Linked DNA regions of Schizosaccharomyces pombe. The gene in region 1 interacts genetically with each later gene. Each region holds a gene or a part of one and is shown on either strand. Other genes may lie near its edges. The genes, in order: rpb6 and tfs1.

Region 1 (3,728 bases):
ATTTGAGAGAGCGTGTGTTTACTGCTAGATATTTCAATGTTATTGTCATATAATGTTGTGAAGGAGATAGCAGCTGGATGCGAAAATTTCTTTACAACCAAGAATTCTGTTTTGATTGATATTCCATTTAGACTTATGTTAAGTTTTATTGTTTTGCGATTAATCTTATTTGGATAAACTCCACCATATATCACACTTTTTGACCAGGGTCTGGTAGGCAGTTTATGTGCTCGAACAGTTTCTTCTGTTATAATATTTGCTTGAGCGCCCGTATCGATTAGACAGGGTATTGAGCACTTGAAGTCTGGAAGTTCAGCTTGTAATACCATTTCGTAACGTTTCCTAGTATGATTTAGGAATTTGTTAGATGAGTATTCTATTCTCGAAACATTTGTCTTCCTCAGGTTTCTGCTATTAGTGGTGTTATTTTTCTTTGAAAGGGACTCTTTTCCTAGATTTTTATTTTGCGGTTGAAAACGCTTGTGAGTTTTACCATACGAGGCTGTTCTTTTGTCCTCTAAAAAGTCATAAATTTCACTGATTTCTGATTTCCAGTAATTTCTTTCCTTTAATTTCCTTAAGGAATATGGCAGCATCCATAATATAAACAAGCGAGTATGGAAATCATCAACATTTGCTTTTGACATGAGTTTCCTTATAAATTGAACTTTGTCCAATTGATTTCTAAAACCTTCAAATGTTTTAGTTAAACGATCACCTTTGTTGGATCCTTGTACTTTCCCTGTTTGTCTGAGTAATTCTTGCCATGTAAGACTTCCATTCTCAGAAAACATGCGTTCAGCGAATTGTTGCTCTAATTCTTCTAGGTGATTCAATGTATACTGTCTTTTAGTATGCTCATTTGGGAATAATGAAGGGTATTCAGTAAAGTGTTGATCAAGTTTTGAAATGTAACTTTCAACATCCTTATTTGGATCGAATTTCCCTATCTCTGGTACATGCTTCGATAATATTTTTGCAAAAAGGTTTATTAAATGTTCGTCTGATGTTTGAATTCCATCCAAATTCTCTGGTCTCCATCGTTTTGCTCTTGCTTTCATATAACGATAATTTGCGTAGGACATTGTATATGTTTCCCTTTGGGAGATTTCAAAAGGGATAACAGTCCTTCCAAAGTTCCTTCTCCTTTGAACCCAGAAGGAGAGAAATATATATATTTATGATATATATTTATTCAATAATTCCTTTTTCCTAAAAGGAGTTAATTGTAGATCACAAGAGTTCAGTTATTGTAAGCTACGCAGTTTGGTATCTGATTTAAGGATACGTAGAACTGCGGTGAGTTTTCCTTGTGATCTATTATATTACGATACACAGGTTGTATAAGTAGCAACTGAGTATAGGTATTGTATTAACTGGGTTATAATGTTACCTATCACTAATATAGCTCATAACTGAACTGAGGAACGAGGTTCAGCAGTAGCTCTATTTATAGTATTCAGATAATATTGATCTTAATAGATTATCATTAAGATCAATCTCCATATCGTATCATACATGGTACGATATATAATTAGAACATGTGACATATAGTGATACTCAACGTAGTGTATTATAGCGTAGTGTAGTATTGCTGACATTAAGTTCCTTTTAAGAGGGTTTACACGTTTGATGAACTCATTAACGATGCGTTGGGATGCGACAAGTTTAACCTGAGACGTGGTACAATAGCTAGTAGTTAATTTCTACAAAGTAGCAAAGGTAACAGACATGCTTATAGAGAGATGATAAAGTAATAGTAACAAATAGACTCTCAATCAGTCAATTTTATCAAATTAAATTATTGATTTAAAAAATAATTTGAATAATAAAAGAAAAAGTCTCTGAAATGTTTCAGTGGAGCGTGCGTTCGATCTTTCTATGAATTAAACATATAAGATGTAAATAGTGCATTGTAGTGTAAAGTAATGAGATTTAACACGGATTCACAATTCGAACGCTGACTAGGTGTATGAGAATTTCCTCTGTCAACTTCCAATTTTTTAGATTCGCCCTTGTCCCCCTTTTCTCCTTTGGCAATTGCATACAAAATGTCTGACTATGAAGAGGATGAGGCCTTTGGAATGGACGGTGCTGTTATGGAGGAGGAAGTCGATGAACTGGAGATGATCGATGAAAATGGGCAATCACAGCAAGGCGTCTCTCATCCTGGTGAACCTTCGACTACCGTTATTACTGAAGATGTTGCTAGCTCAAAAACAGCTCAATCTGGTAAAGCGGTAGCAAAGGAAGACCGAACCACTACTCCTTATATGACAAAGTATGAACGCGCTCGTATTTTGGGAACTCGAGCACTTCAAATTAGGTGAGTAGATGCGTGGATTTACAATAAAGCGTCGTACAAAGGCACTAGCGTAATTGCTTAAGTCCTGAATCGTTATGCTGTTTTGCAGTCATGGAGTTTAAAAAAAAACGATATAGTTAAAAATTTTTTTTTTATTTTCTAGTTAGGATTGTCTGATTATGATGAATTTTGTTTCTTTTCAATTGAGCTTTCTTTTAATTTCTAACTCTTTATTTTAGTATGAACGCACCTGTTTTAGTTGATTTGGAAGGTGAAACTGATCCTTTGCAAATTGCCATGAAGGAGCTTGCACAAAAAAAGATTCCTCTACTAGTCCGGCGATATTTACCCGATGGCAGTTATGAAGACTGGAGTGTAGCGGAGCTCATTTAATTTAAGAAGTGTTCCAATTTCAAATACGTTCTATCGCTCGTTCGATTCACCTCGTTCTTTTCCTAATTCTTTTGTTTTACGTGAGCGAAGCCGTTTGGCTATGGTAAAGAAAAGAAAATAAAAGCAAAAGGACTAAATTTTTAGCTCTATACCATTAATTTACGATTTAGAAATAGGGACGTATTTATCCTCGGGAGAAAAAAAAGGCTTGTGCTACTATTCTAGAAATCTTCTTTTCTTGTGTCAAAAAATTTTTTGGGGCATTTTAGCTCTCGTTCTTCAATGAATGCATTTAATAATAACTTTTTCCGATAGTTTTAGTAGCTGTGTAAATGTAAACTCATTGATCACGGAGTTTTTTGTACAACTGTTAATCTGAAAAAAATTCTAGAGCACAGAAAACTCAAAATTGCTTACTACACACCTATCATTCAGATATGTTCAAATGTTCTATTACTATCAGTTTCAAAGCATGGATTGCGAAATTTACAAGGTATAATATCTAATGAGTGTGCTCATGAGATGGATGCGAATGTTCACCAGAAGACCCATTTAAGTGTTGCCATCTATGAACCTGATTAGAGTCAGAGGAAAGTGGTGTCACGATACAACTGGAAAGGGCAGGGATAGCATCCAAAACAGTCTTTTCTACCTTTTGTGCCAATTCGGACGACTGTTGAGATGTGAAGGATGGAGGAACAGATATTATCACATGCATGGCATGTGCATTTCCTAATATAGTAACGATTTTATATGGAAGCTTTTCTCCCTTCAATAAAGCATCAGTTACTGCGATACGTAACTCTTCGGAAGGTGCTCGGTCCAAAAGCTGCAAGAAGGCCTTTTTAGAAGAGTTGAAGCCGGCACTAAAAACGACAATACTTACTAAACAACCAAAAAACGGATCTAGCCATGGAGCATTAAGAAAGTAAGTGCCGGATAAAGCAAGCAGTGAAACCATTCCCGTCAATGCATCTGCTCTATGATGCCAGGCATTGGCTAGTAAGATATTTGAATCTGTTTTTTGAGC
Region 2 (4,164 bases), on another chromosome or scaffold:
CCATTCTTTGAATCGTGCGTATCGGTGAAGATGAAGCATCATAGCAAATAATCATATCGGTATCACCAATGTCTAAACCCTCTTCGCCGATTGATGTAGCAACTAGCGTGTTTATAACACCTGCACGAAATTGATCGATAGTTTCTTTTTGTTGCATCTGATTCATGCCAGTTGAGTAAGCCGAGTTCGCCTGCCCAATAAATAAAGAAGCTCGAACCATAGGTCGAATTGCCAACAATGTCGTTGTGATATATTCAGCAGTGTTTCGAAATTCTGTGAAAATCATAACTCGTTGATTTTGATAGCCTTCAGAAGTATCTTTGAAATGTTCTTTCAAAAGTTCAAGAAGATGATTCATTTTAGGATGGTTTAATGACAAACCTTGAATTTTATTGTGAAGGTGTTCTAAATAAAAAGCAAACGGTTTACTAGTAAACAACCAAAAGCTTTGTCCACTCCCTTTTCCTTCAGCTTTATTTTTAGTTTCCACAAGCTTTTGATAAAATTGGATAATCCCATGACAATCTAACAGATACGTTATATGAGCACATGAAATCAATAGCGTAAAGCAACTCATGATTTTTGATTTTTCTTTAGATTGTACATTTTTTGAACTAAAGGAATACTTTCGTAAAGAAACGAAAAGCGTATAAGCTTTTATATTAAGGCATTCACAATTGATAGGTATAAGTTTTTTTTGACGGAGAAAATTAAAATATGGCCGGTATAGGTTAGCAAAGTCCGATTTTAAAATATTCATTTCAGAGGAGATCGTGACCTTAATCAACTGAATCTTTTTATGAAAAACATATGAGCGAATATCTATACTTTCTTCGTTGCGAACAATGAGTTTGGAGATATGGAGGCAATCTACTACCTTTTGAACAGAGGCGGTAGAAGATCCTGGAGTTGCGGTTAAACCAAGGACTCGAAAATGACTATTAGATCTAAGCACTGCCCTCATAACCTGAGCATACGAATGGTTGCCAGTAGCTCTATGAGCTTCATCAAATATCAGGCAAATAATACTTTTGGCATCCAGTAAATGTTCCTTTAAATCATTCTGGAGTGTTTGTGGAGTCATGAAAAATACTCGTTTCGTATTGTATTCGAAAAGTCGACGATCCGGTGATACTTCACCGTTCAATTCAGCGGTAGCACCTGGTGACATTCCCGCTACATTGGAACAAGCAACTCTTTGTTGCAACAGTAATGGTTTTGTGGGGGCAAGAAATATTATTTTGCTTTCAGGAAACCAACGAAAATAGTTTAACATGACCACTGCCGCAATAAATGTCTTTCCCAACCCAGTAGGTAGAGCCAGTAATAAATTGTGGAATAATGCTTGCTCACAAAATTCCTTTTGATAATTTCTATACTGCTGAGTCTGTGGAAAAATCCAGTTTTGCATTGCATCAATATTTTTTGGAATGTCAATATTGTTTTCTAACTCAGTTATAACTTGAGGTTGAGAAGAAGGAACCCTACAGCCTCGCAAGTCTAGTTGAAACGTAGTATTTTCAACGTCTTGATTATGTTTTATACATTTCAAATTTGGTTGCCTTAAAGCAGGATTAGAATTCAACAAAGATCCTTCAACATTACAAAGCACTGAGGTAGGAACATTTCCTCGTTCTCCGTTCACCTCGATACTTGGCAGGTCTACTTCAGAGTCGGAATAGTCACTTGAGTCTCTCAGTACAATCATGAAACTAAATTTATGAAAACGAACGAACACATAGACCAAAGTAAGTTTCAAAAATAAACTGAATATCAAACTTTTAAATTCTTGAACATCAAGTTTCTTCAATTTGATCAAACAACATTATAATCTTTGCTTTTCATAAACAAAGCTGATAAAACAATTAACAATTGAGTAAGATCAAGTCAGCGGAGGAGCATGAAAATTTAACGTTGTAAAATAAACACGAGTACTAATGCGATAAACAGAAAACAGTTTGCAAACTTGAAAAAAAAACTGTCAAACTCAAGAATTCAACTAACAAAATCACGTTACGGGGTGTTGATATTCACATCAGCAACTATGGTGGTGAAGAAAAATCACAACGGTATTAGTAGACATGTGAGATGTAAAGCGCGTTATCCAAAATAAATCCTCTACCACCATAAGATTATTAATTTTGCAATCTGCTAACCAACAGCAGTGTTTACAGTATTCGAACTTAATTTGAATCATGGACTCTGCTGATATCCGATCTGCGAAAGCAGCTTTGGAAAAAGCTATTCAGGGAAAGAATATAGAGGTTTGTAATTTGTGCTATTGGGACTTACAGATGGTTTTGAAGCTAATATCAAGCTAGACTATAATTAACATTATGACACGTTTAAAAAATGAAGTAGTTGCTACCGAAGAATTACTTAAGGTAGGTTTATTACATGCAATATGGTAGTATTCTCGCACGGATTGTTGACAATATATTACATGAATTTTGCAAATTTCACTTAATAGAAATAACATCTTTCTTAAAATACGAATTCCACAAGAGTACCAACATTTGATGGAGAATCGGTATTCAAAATACTAACCAATGATGCTAGGAAACCCGGCTGGGATTAGTCGTTGGCAAGCTCAGATCTCATCCCAATGAGAAAGTTGGTGAGCAAGCTCGGGAAATTGTAAAAAAATGGAAAGCCGATGTTAGTAAAGGTCGTCCATTGAAAACCACAACTACAACTTCCTCCACGCCTTCTAAACATGCGGATGTAGGTTCTCAAGCTCAAAAACAAGTTCAAAAACAAAGCAGCAGTGGTCAGCGTACTTTTAAATCTGATAATGTGAACGTCAATGTGACTGATGACAAGATTCGCAACAACTGTATTGGATTAATGTACAATGCATTAGTCATAGATTCGGATGAATCTTCTTCATTAATAATAGCCAAAGCCAAAGAAATTGATGCGCAAGTACTTGCTAGAGCAGCAGGTAAAACTGGTTCTGAATATCGAAACAGAATGCGGTCCTTGTATATGAATCTTAAAGATAAAAATAACCCGAAACTTAGAGCATCAGTATTACGAAATGAAATTACTCCGCAAAGACTCAGTACCATGACTTCTGCCGAATTGGCTTCAGAAGACCGTCGCAAGGAAGATGCCAAGCTAGAACAAGAAAATTTATTCCATGCGCAAGGTGCTAAACCCCAAAAAGCTGTTACAGACCTTTTTACTTGTGGGAAGTGTAAGCAAAAAAAAGTTTCTTATTACCAAATGCAAACAAGGTATGTTATTTGTCATGATTTTAGTACTTTTTATCGCGTAAAATTTATTAACAATCCGTATAGATCTGCTGATGAGCCTATGACAACGGTAAGCATTAGTCTATTTGGGTAGAATATTTGGACTAATTTTTTTTTAGTTTTGTGAATGTACTGTTTGCGGAAATCGCTGGAAATTTTCTTAAATCTTGGGTCAGCCCATTTAGATACCGGTTGTAAAATAATCCTTCATATTTCTTCTTCTTTTTATTGTTTTAGAAGCACTCTCCTCTATTGTGTGTGTTTTTTTTTGTTTTAGGATCTGATTGGTATCTTTCATTCTAGCGATGAATATATGCATATTTTACTTTTGCACACTCAATACGACACTTTTACAGTTATCCTACTTTACACTTCTTAATAAATCCAAATGGTGTTTTAAACGTACATTTAATAAGTTAACGCTTGATCAAAGCGAATAGATCATAAAATTCGACATTATTAATCCTCAATTAAACTGTAGTCATAATTAACAAGTGCAACGAAAAGTGGAACGATTAATTGTATTGGACAAAAATTTTAACAAAAATGAACGGGTTTACCATCGATACGAGTGTAATAAGCCGTATGCAAAATTGCAAATAATTCCGACAAGAATGGATAATTGCATTCTCAGAGAGAACATTGTCCTTTCCCAAAGAAAATAACAAGCAATAGCTCCTCCAAAAAAGCCTATTAATACTCCAGCCAACAAGGTTTCATATGACATGTCAAGTTCGTCGGCAGAAGAGTTTTGTCCTCCATTGTCAATCCAATCGTCTTCTGCCTCTCTGATAGCGTCTTCCGTGAGTGAATCCAAATTAGTTCCTCGTAAGCGATGAAATTGGCTACGCAAATTATTGACCTCGGTTTCTGTAAAACCAGCTTCACGTAAACGATCAAAACCACG

Evidence for each region.
Region 2: of rpb6 (region 1) and tfs1, extra expression of one rescues a mutant of the other (dosage rescue), as found in Schizosaccharomyces pombe (one study listed by BioGRID).

The regions. Positions count from the first base shown.
Region 1 is NC_003421.2:781,050-784,777, forward strand, and holds rpb6 (DNA-directed RNA polymerase subunit Rpb6), read left to right. Parts: upstream 1-1,987; 5' UTR 1,988-2,051; coding exon 2,052-2,326; intron 2,327-2,544; coding exon 2,545-2,698; 3' UTR 2,699-3,028; downstream 3,029-3,728. Other genes in the region: Tf2-12 (retrotransposable element/transposon Tf2-type), read right to left, coding at 1-1,085; mmt1 (mitochondrial iron ion transporter), read right to left, coding at 3,201-3,728. UniProt on the Schizosaccharomyces pombe protein: DNA-dependent RNA polymerases catalyze the transcription of DNA into RNA using the four ribonucleoside triphosphates as substrates.
Region 2 is NC_003424.3:2,114,413-2,118,576, reverse strand, and holds tfs1 (general transcription elongation factor TFIIS), read left to right. Parts: upstream 1-2,120; 5' UTR 2,121-2,195; coding exon 2,196-2,264; intron 2,265-2,321; coding exon 2,322-2,384; intron 2,385-2,559; coding exon 2,560-3,239; intron 3,240-3,302; coding exon 3,303-3,327; intron 3,328-3,376; coding exon 3,377-3,421; 3' UTR 3,422-3,664; downstream 3,665-4,164. Other genes in the region: ATP-dependent 3'-5'-directionality DNA helicase fml2, read right to left, coding at 1-1,708; protein dsc3, read right to left, coding at 3,814-4,164. UniProt on the Schizosaccharomyces pombe protein: Necessary for efficient RNA polymerase II transcription elongation past template-encoded arresting sites.